2 linked regions of the Macaca mulatta genome follow. The protein of the gene in region 1 purifies or fractionates together with the protein of each later gene. This does not show direct contact. Links are inferred from orthologs where the notes say so. Each region holds a gene or a part of one and is shown in the gene's direction. Other genes may lie near its edges.

What was found. The genes of interacting proteins can lie anywhere in the genome.
Region 2: the proteins of EPS15L1 (region 1) and ITSN2 purify together in Homo sapiens (affinity purification with mass spectrometry; 5 studies listed by BioGRID and IntAct, with this or other methods). This does not show direct contact. The link is inferred for Macaca mulatta from reciprocal best matches to the Homo sapiens genes EPS15L1 and ITSN2.

The regions. Positions count from the first base shown.
Region 1 is NC_133424.1:16,958,249-16,962,711, reverse strand, and holds the start of EPS15L1 (epidermal growth factor receptor substrate 15-like 1), read left to right. Parts: upstream 1-1,231; 5' UTR 1,232-1,256; coding exon 1,257-1,289; intron 1,290-4,463.
Region 2 is NC_133418.1:100,660,954-100,665,447, forward strand, and holds the start of ITSN2 (intersectin-2), read left to right. Parts: upstream 1-1,635; 5' UTR 1,636-2,210; intron 2,211-2,571; exon of another isoform or gene 2,572-3,159; intron 3,160-4,494.

The DNA.
Region 1 (4,463 bases):
GGAAATCACGCCATTGCACTCCAGCCTGGGCGACAGAGCAAGACTCCGTCTCAAAAATAAAATAAAAATATAAATACAAAAATTAGCCGGGCATGGTGGTGCATGCCTGTAATACCCGCTACTCAGGAGGCTGAGGTATGAGAATCACTTGAACCTGAGAGGCGAGGTTGCAGTGAGCCGAGATCGTGCCACTGCACTCCAGCCTGGTTGACAGAGTGAGACAAAATAAAGTAAAATAAAAGAAAAAGTCCTCTAGAATAGTGCTTTTCCTCTAATAACCATACTACAGCAAGCATCAGGTGCCAGCTGCTCTGTGCCGGGCAGTGAGGGACATAGATGTGTAACAATAACAAACACGTATTACCATTCTCTCTTTTCAGAAGAGGGGCCTAAGGGCCCAGAGAGGCAAATTCAACCACTTGCCAGGACACACAGAGCAGCAGGGGAATCATGCCTGGCACCTGGCACTGTGGGTGCTGCAGCGGCACAGAGAGGTGAAGTTCTGCGCCTGAGCTTAGTCAAAACCCTAACGGGCAGACCCAGATTATAAAACATTACACAAACAGCTATTCTAGAAATAGGACGCCTTGCGGGGCAGGGTGCGGGTTCCCCAGACTACAACAGCTATTCTAGAAATAGGACGCCTTGCGGGGCAGGGTGCGGGTTCCCCAGACTACAACACACACACACACACACACACACACACACACACACACACACACACAGAGCTATCCTAGGAACAGGACGCCTTGCGGGGCAGGGTGAGGGGGGCAGGGTGCGGGTCCCCCAGATTAGAACACACACACTGCGATCCTAGGAACAGGGCGCCTTGCGAGGCAGGGTGACGGTCCCGACGCTCCGCGGGGTGGGCAACCGCCTCCCCAGGCGCACTGGCAGGGGGACGGCCTCCCTAACAGAGAACCAGGCCTCGGCATGGGCTGGAGGGATGACAGAGCATGGCCGACTCGGCCAGCGGCCGGCGGTACGAGAGTCTGAACGACGTTGGAAGCAGGGGCAGGGACAGCGAGCAAGAGAGCACTGCACGGAGACGCCTCGGGCCCCGCCCATCAAGTTGCCGGCGCGCGGCCCCGCCCCTGCCCCTGCCGGCCTGACTGCGCGTGCGTGGCCCTGCCTACGGTCCCGCCCCCTCCCGAGACAGGCTGCGTGCGCACCGCCCTCCCGTCGTCCCAGTGCGCACGCGTGGCAGCGGCCCCGCCCCCGTTCCCCCGGCGCTCGGAGCCCGAGTCCGCGGGAAGATGGCGGCGCCACTCATCCCCCTCTCCCAGCAGGTACGGGCCGGGCGGGCCTGGGGGCGGCGCCGGGGTGCGGGGCGCGAGGCGAGCGGCGCGGCGAGGCTGAGGCGCGGGGAGACTCAGCTGGGCGGCGGCGGGGGCGGCTCGTGCTTGAAGGGTTTGCGGCCGGCGGGTGGGCAGGCGGCCCTGAAGGTGACAGGCCGGGGCCCGCGGCCTCCAGTGCCCGAGCGACCCTCGCGGGCACCAGCGAGGCCAGGAGATGCGCGGCGCGTGTCCTCTTCGCCCAGGGCCCGGACCCTGCCGCCGCCGAAGCTCCCAGGCCAGGGACCCGCGGGGGGCTAGGCTGCATCCCGGAGAGGTGGGCGAGGGGAACGAGCGTTTCTGTCGGCGCAGTGGCCCGGCGAGTCTTTGTCTCCCGCGGGTGCCGGCGCTCGGGCGGGCAGGGTCCCTGCTGGGTGCAGGGCAGAGCCTCGCCGGAGCCCGGACCCGTCAGCAACAGCGAGATCTCAGACTGATCCCTTGGGAGCTGCTTCCACCACCCCTGCACCCTGCACCGGGCGCAGATCGCACGTCTTTGGGCACCTCTCTGTGTCCTCAAATTCGCCTGATGCGCTTAAGAAGGGTCAGTATCGATAGCGCGACACAGACGTGCGAAAAAGAGTCATGCGTAGGCAGCTCTGCTATTTGGGAGGGACTTTCATTCATTCATTTTCTATCCATCCCTCAAATGTGCGTTGGGTCAGGTGCTGGGAGCGCTGCATTCATCCAGACAGACAAGGTCGCTGCTCTCCTGGAGGTGACACTCGTGGGAACTAGAAACTGCCTGTGTTCTGCTAATCACAGCTGCCTTTATTTGCTGAATACCTGTGTTGTGCAAAGCACCATATAAGCATTTTGCTAGAATGATCTAGCACAGCATAGTGATTAAGAGTGAGGACACAGGGTCAGATCATGTGTTCAAATCTTGGCTCCAGCCCCGATTTCTCTGTGCCTTTGGTTGAAGCTCTTAGCCTTTCCACCCATCAGTTGCTTCCTTTGGAAAATGGAGATATAAAAATGTGTTGGGATTATGTGAAAATTAAGCATGTGAAAAAGCACTTAGAACAGTGCCTATGCCAGATTTGGACCTTTGGGAGTAGAGACCACAGCAAGTAAGAATTCCAGACCCGAAGAGAGCTGACAGGCCAGTTGCATGCTTGCATGACTGGTTAGCTGATCCAAGGTGAGAGAAGTGCACAGCTAGCCAGTTTGCAACACTGTCACTAAATTAACAGTGCTAACACCCAGTGATTATTAATTAGCAAGTTCTTGTTACTGACATGAAAGTGCTCTGTAAACTGTTAAGTGTCCTACAGATAGTAGTTATTAATAGCTAAGTGCTACAGTTTAGAGTATGTAGTGGGGAGGTGGGGGGCGGGGAGCAGGGGGCGGGCAGGGACGGCAGGAGTCGGGGAAAATCACCTAAGATCATTTCATGAGAAACCTCTAAGCACTACCAGTTTGGGAGGCATGGATCTTTCTAAAACTTCCTGTCCAAATTTTCCTGTCCAAAAAAATTTTTTTTTTTTGAGGTGGAGTATTGCTCTGTCACCCAGGGTGAAGTGCAGTGGTGTGATGTCAGCCCACTGCAACCTCCGCCTCCCAAGTTCAAGTGATTCTCCTGTCTCAGCCTCCTGATAGCTGGGACTACAGGCACACCCGGCTAATTTTTGTATTTTTTTTAGTGGAGACGGGGTTTCACCATGTTGGCCAGGCTGGTCTCAAATTCCTGACCTCAAGTGATCCACCCGCCTTGGCCTCCCAAAATGGTGTGAGCCATTACGCCCGGCCAGGTCACTGACTCCTAAGCCTCTTCCTGTTCCTTTCCCTATACATTTGTTGAATGAAGGCTTGGCCTGGTTTTCTTCATTTGGAAATGTCAGCATTTCTCTACACCTGCTCTCGAGTGAAGATCTACACCATGGGTTACTGTTGACCCAGATGTGAGGCATGGCCCTCCCAGGCCCTTACTGTCTAGCTTAGGAGATCACTTGGGTTCACAGATAACTCTGGGGGAACCAAGGGTATGATTCCAAAATTTTTGATTGGGGGCAACAGGGAAGCACCCTGCAGCAGGCGGCTGTGATCTGGTTGGATTTTGGTGACAGAGCACACTTGGCAAGCAGACGGCCAGGTGAAGGTGAGCAAAGTGGATAACCCAGTGGGTAGCCTAGGGGAGGAGGGGTGTGTTTTCTCCACCCCCACGCCCGTCTGCACTTTTCCCATCAGCGTCTTTTTCAGCCTGCTCTGTACTCCCCGACATCATCTCAGAATCTCCTTCCTTGTATACTCTTTTCTGACCCTGAATATCAATATGAATTAGAAAGGTCTGCACTCCTGCCTCTTTAGTAGTGATTTTTTTTTTCCCATCAGCATCTCAGTTATTTGTGTTTCTCCCTGTCCCCCTGCTCAGCTCTCTTCTGTTTTCCAAAAAGCCTTCCATGGAAATGCGTCCAGATTTTCTCCCTCCTTATACTCCCCGAGGTTACCAGCGGCCCCTCCGTCCTTAAACCTGGTGCCCTGTGGCTGCAGCCGATCCTCCTCGAACCCTGCAACACTGGAGCCCATGGGATTTTACTCTTCATCCTCTCTCCTTTCAGTCTCTCCCTCTTGTCCCCTAATTTCAGCCTCCCCACCTGCATCTTATCTCTGTGCTCCCTCCCCTGAAACTTCTGTGCAGAGGACTCCAAACCTGCCTTCTGGAGTCCAGAAGGTGGCTCTCCTGCACCCCTGCCAGCCTGCTGGACTGTGGAATAGGCCACTTTCTTGTCATGCCCAAAGTGGGCTGGGCCATCCTACTTCCTACTTGCCCTCTCCCTCCCACTTCATCCCCCGCCACTGTGGGAGTCATCTTCTTTTTGTTTTTTGAGACAGGGTCTCGCTCTGTCCCCCAGGCTGGAGAGCAGTAGTAGGATCATAGCTCACTGCAACCTCAAACTCCTGGGCTCAAGCAATTCTCCCACCTTGGCCTCCCAAGTAGCTGGTGCTACAGGAGCGCACCAGTCATACCCAGCTAATTAAAAAATTTTTTTTGTAGAGATGAAGTCTTGCTATGTTGCTTAGGCAGGTCTTAAACCCCTAGCCTCAAGCAGTCCTATCTCGGCCTCCCAAAGTATTGGAATTACAGGCATCAGCCACTGCATCTGACTGGGATTCATCTTCTAAAACATA
Region 2 (4,494 bases), on another chromosome or scaffold:
ATAGAGTAGAACAGGATGGACAAACTGGCCTCAAAGTTCTGACGGGAACCCTGGGATACAGTTATTTTAGTGCTTGGGATACTGTAGGCATGCATTCAGGACCCTGATTTCCACCAGAGGTTGTTAGCTTTTTGGTAGGGAGGCTTTAAATTTTTTTAAAAATTTCTTTATAAGCATCTGTTTCTACAAATTCCATTTTTGTCCTGCCGAGGATTTGGTACCTCCTTTAGAAGGAAAGAGGACTCAAGGTGAATTGCACCAGGTCTAGAACCCCAAAACACAAATGACATTGGTCAAAGGACGGGAGAAAAATGAAGACAAGCTATGTGCCTTACAGGAATAAAAAATAGGTTTTACCTCTCAGGCCAACTCTCTGGAGCACTATGTTGTGAAGGATTCTGGTGCTTTGACTCTCAAACATGGGCTCCAAAAGGGCACATCAGTTACCGGTGAAGTGTGCAATGCGAATGAGGCCATGTGCTCAAGACTGCTATCCTTGGCCTGGGTAGTTTGTTTGTAGATGGGGACAGATTGGCTGGTCCCCAGCAAGTGAGGGGCCTCCTAGACTGATACAAGAGTTAGGCCTCTCTGTGTCACTGAGGCTCAGGACCTGTTTGTCAGGTCTTGGTCAGGTTCTAATCGAAGAGTTAGGAAAAACACTGAGTGTGAGAGCGGGAAAAGCCTGTTTATCGTCATCGAAGTTTGGTAAATTCCTTGTGAGCTGGCTGGCCAGTTCAGATGGGCCTGGGTTTGGAGCCATTTCACCTTCACCTGCCTCAGCAGGTAAGGAATGAAAGGATGCCATGGGGTAATTTGATCTACACAGATCAAATCATGGGGATATGAGTTATGGACCCCGGACCAGCCCTCACCCTGCTTCTAAAAGTCAAAAGAAATCTTGGGTCTTGGCGGGGAGTGGTGGCTCACACCTGTAATCCCAGCACTTTGGGAGGACGAGGTGGGCGGATCACCTGAGGTCAGAAATTGGAGACCAGCCTGGCCAACACGGTGAAACCCATCTCTACTAAAAATACAAACAGCTGGGTGTGGTAGTGAGTGCCTGTAATCCCAGGTACTTGGAGGCTGAGGCAGAAGAATCGCTTGAACCTGGGAGGTGGAGGTTGCAGTGAGCACAGATCAATCGCACAGATCGCGCCACTGCACTCCAGCCTGGGCAATGGAGTGAGACTGTCTCAGGGAAAAAAAAAAAAAAAAAAAAATAGAAATCTTGGGTCTTATATCCAAAAATCTTGAGTCTTACATTTGGTTACTTTTTTTTTTTTTTAGACAGAGTTTTGCTCTTGTTGCCCAAGCTGGCGTGCAGTGGTGCAACCTCAGATCACTGCCTCTCAGGTTCCAGCGATTCTCTGCCTCACTCAGCCTCCCGAGTAGCTGGGACTGCAGGCGCCTGCCACCACGCCCGGCTAAATTTTGCATCTTAGTTTCACCACGTTGGTCAGGCTGGTCTCCAACTCCTGACCTCAGATGATCCAACCGCCTCGGTCTCCCAAAGTGCCGGGATTACAAGCGTGAGCCACTGGGCCCAGCCGACATTTGGTTACGTTCATTTGGTTACGTTCATACACTAACTCCTCCCTCACACAAATCAAAAGAAAGCCTTTCCCTTGACGGAGCTTCTTGTCAAGGGCAAGCCTTTGGGATACGGTGGCGACTTGAGTTGAAGCCTGGTCTTTTGTGAGGAGACCAGGAACCGGGAGGGGAGAAAAGAAACAAATTCTGAGTTTGACCTTGGCCTTTCCCTTGGCGAGGGGTGGGGAGGAAAGTTTAGCTTCGTCGTGCTAGGCTCTACGGGGACAGAGTCTTCCTACTGTGTGACTAGCGTAGAGGATGCTCCTTGTGGGCGCTCCGCGTGTGTTATGGAGGAGGGCGAGGAATGGTGAATGGATGATAGAGGGTATGGTTAAGTCCTCCAGGTCCCTGAGAAGGGTTCAAGAGGCCTGTAACAGACCCATGGGCAAGGGTGGGATCGACCTCCTTCCCACCTTCCACCCCCCAATTCCCAGAGAATTTGTGCCCCCACATCAGTGAAGAAAACTTCGGCGAGTGAGAAGGTTCCAGGGAGAGCCCCGTGGCGGGGTGCAACAGGGATGTGGCAGGCACTGCTTGGGACTTTCCAAAACACCGGGGTCTGCCGTGGCAGGAAAAGCACCACCCAAGCTCAACATGTCACCTCGGAGAGGAGGAGCCAGGTGGGTCTCCGCAGCTCCAGGAAGGGCTGCCGGGTCTGGGGCTTCGGGGCCTCCCCGAGGGCAGAGAGGAGCGCTTCGGACCCGACCGATTCGGAGCAGACTTTCAGGGTTCAGTGCCCCGGAACTCCGGGGGTGAGGAGCCACGCCCGGGCAGTTTCGGGCTCCGGAGGGTGGGGAGTCGGTGCCCGGCAGCGGGCGGGCCGTCAGCTGCCCGGCCCGGCGCCTACCTCCCCGCCCCCCGGCTTCCTGCGGAGGCCGCGGCCGCCATGTTGTTGTGGGGCTGAGGCGGCGCCCGCGGAGCCCTGAGCGGCCGTGACAGGCTACGCAACAGGTTCGCTGGCGGCGGCCTGACGACCAAGCCGGCTGCAGCGGCGGCGACGGCGGCAGAGCAGGGTCTCCCGGCGGCTGCCCGCGCCCAGACTGCCGGTGCTGAGGAGCGCGGAGTCGTGCTGTGACGTGCGGGAGGCGCGGCGAGGGCGCCAGGTGGGTGAAGCCGCTAGCGGGGCTGCCGGAAGGCGCGGGGCAGGTGCGGGCGCCGCGCCCGCTGCCGGGAGGCTCCCCCGGCCGGGCTGAGGCGGCTGCGCGCTCCGCACGACGGGGACGGGTCCTCGGGAGCACGGGCGGCCCCCGAGCTAGGCCCCTGGCGGGCTCGGCCGTGCCGGGCGGAAACCTGCGGCCCCGGGTTCCTTCCCCTGCCGCCCGGCCGGGGGGGACGCCGAGGGGGCCTGGGCTGGGCTACCCCTTCCTTGCGGCCGAGCCCGGGTCCCCGACCGCGGCCTCGTCTGGCAGGTGGCGGACGCCGGCAAGGGTCGGGGGGCGGCGTGGCCCTCTCACTTTCGGGGTGCGAGCAGAAGAGAGCTCTGGGGGCACCCGCACGCCTCCTCCGGGACCCATTTTATTTTCGCGGAGTTGGTTTTCCTTCCTGGCAAGGGTTGGTGCGGAATGTCAGGTGAGCCGCATCCCAGTGCGTCAAAGTAGCCCGAGTCACGAGAGGACAGTGGGCGGATGCTTGGCGTCCACCGCTCGCGTTCCTCCGGAGTTGGAAATGTTAAATTTACCTTCAGCGTTATTGACTTCCAGAATATACAGGAAGCACCGAGAGATGTAATCTCTCAGGCCAGATAAAGTTTATTTATTTATTTATTTTTTTAAAAAGACGTCTGCATGTGCATAGTGAGTGGGTAAACCGAGGCTGAAACTGCAGATGGCTTTGCATCCTGTAGAAAGATGCTCCATTTGGATTTATTAATTATGCGCTTTGTCGCTCCAGAATTACCAATGGCAAGTGTGCTTTATTTGAAACTTGTGTTAATACCGAAATAGGAATATGTTTTGATGAAGCCAACCCCGTTATGATAGGAATTAAGGTTAGCACAGAAATGACTTGCTTTGCTCTGTGCTTCTAGTTTGTTTCACAGTGTTTGCTTGCTTACTCAGGAATAGGCAAGGTGTGACTTGAAATTTTACGTTGTTAGCTCAGTTTAGGTAGCATAAGCTCTTGTAGGTTAAAGCTTCTTAAGCATTTCGAAAAATTGCCTCTCTCCCTGTGCTGGTGTGCTATGTTGTTAATCAGTGGTAAAACCTAAAAGCTACCTAGAAACATCGCATAAAACATTTACACGAATTAGTAATGACTTCCTTCAAAATTTAAAGATATTGACAACTCTGATGTGTTTACCTTGAGCTTTTTTTTGGTCCGTGCCTGTCAGCCTCTTGTAATTACAAAAGTAAATAAAGTGGATGTATTTGATGTTTTTGAAAACGTGGAAAAAATGTTCATTGCAGCTATTTTGATGTAGTATTAATAAGCAGTTGAAAAGCTTGCATTTTTTCTCCCTTCCATGTATTGATAACTATTCCCTGTGCCCACCTTTATAATGAAAGGTAAACTCGTCCGAGAAAACTTGACCTGTACAGAATTATTAAGCAGGAAGGTACCATTTTTCAATACCTCTCAAGGCTAAAATCTTGCTCTCTCCTGAATATGAGGAGGTGTATTAGGCATGTTCTGGGGATTGGATTAATAGTGTTAAAAAATTTGTATTTTCACAAAAATAGCACGTACCCGTCACCCAAACTCAGCAGCTTTCAAGAAGCTTTTTTTTTTTTCTTTCTTATTTTAAAAAATCATCTAACCTTATGTAGTTAGTGTATCTTTTTTAAAGAGTGGGAAATTTCGTATGTAACCTTAGGATTTTTAGTTTTAATGTAGAGTTTCACAAATTTCCATCTTTAGTAAGACAAAAGGATCACATATTGGCTGTCTCCTTCAACTATGCTTTGT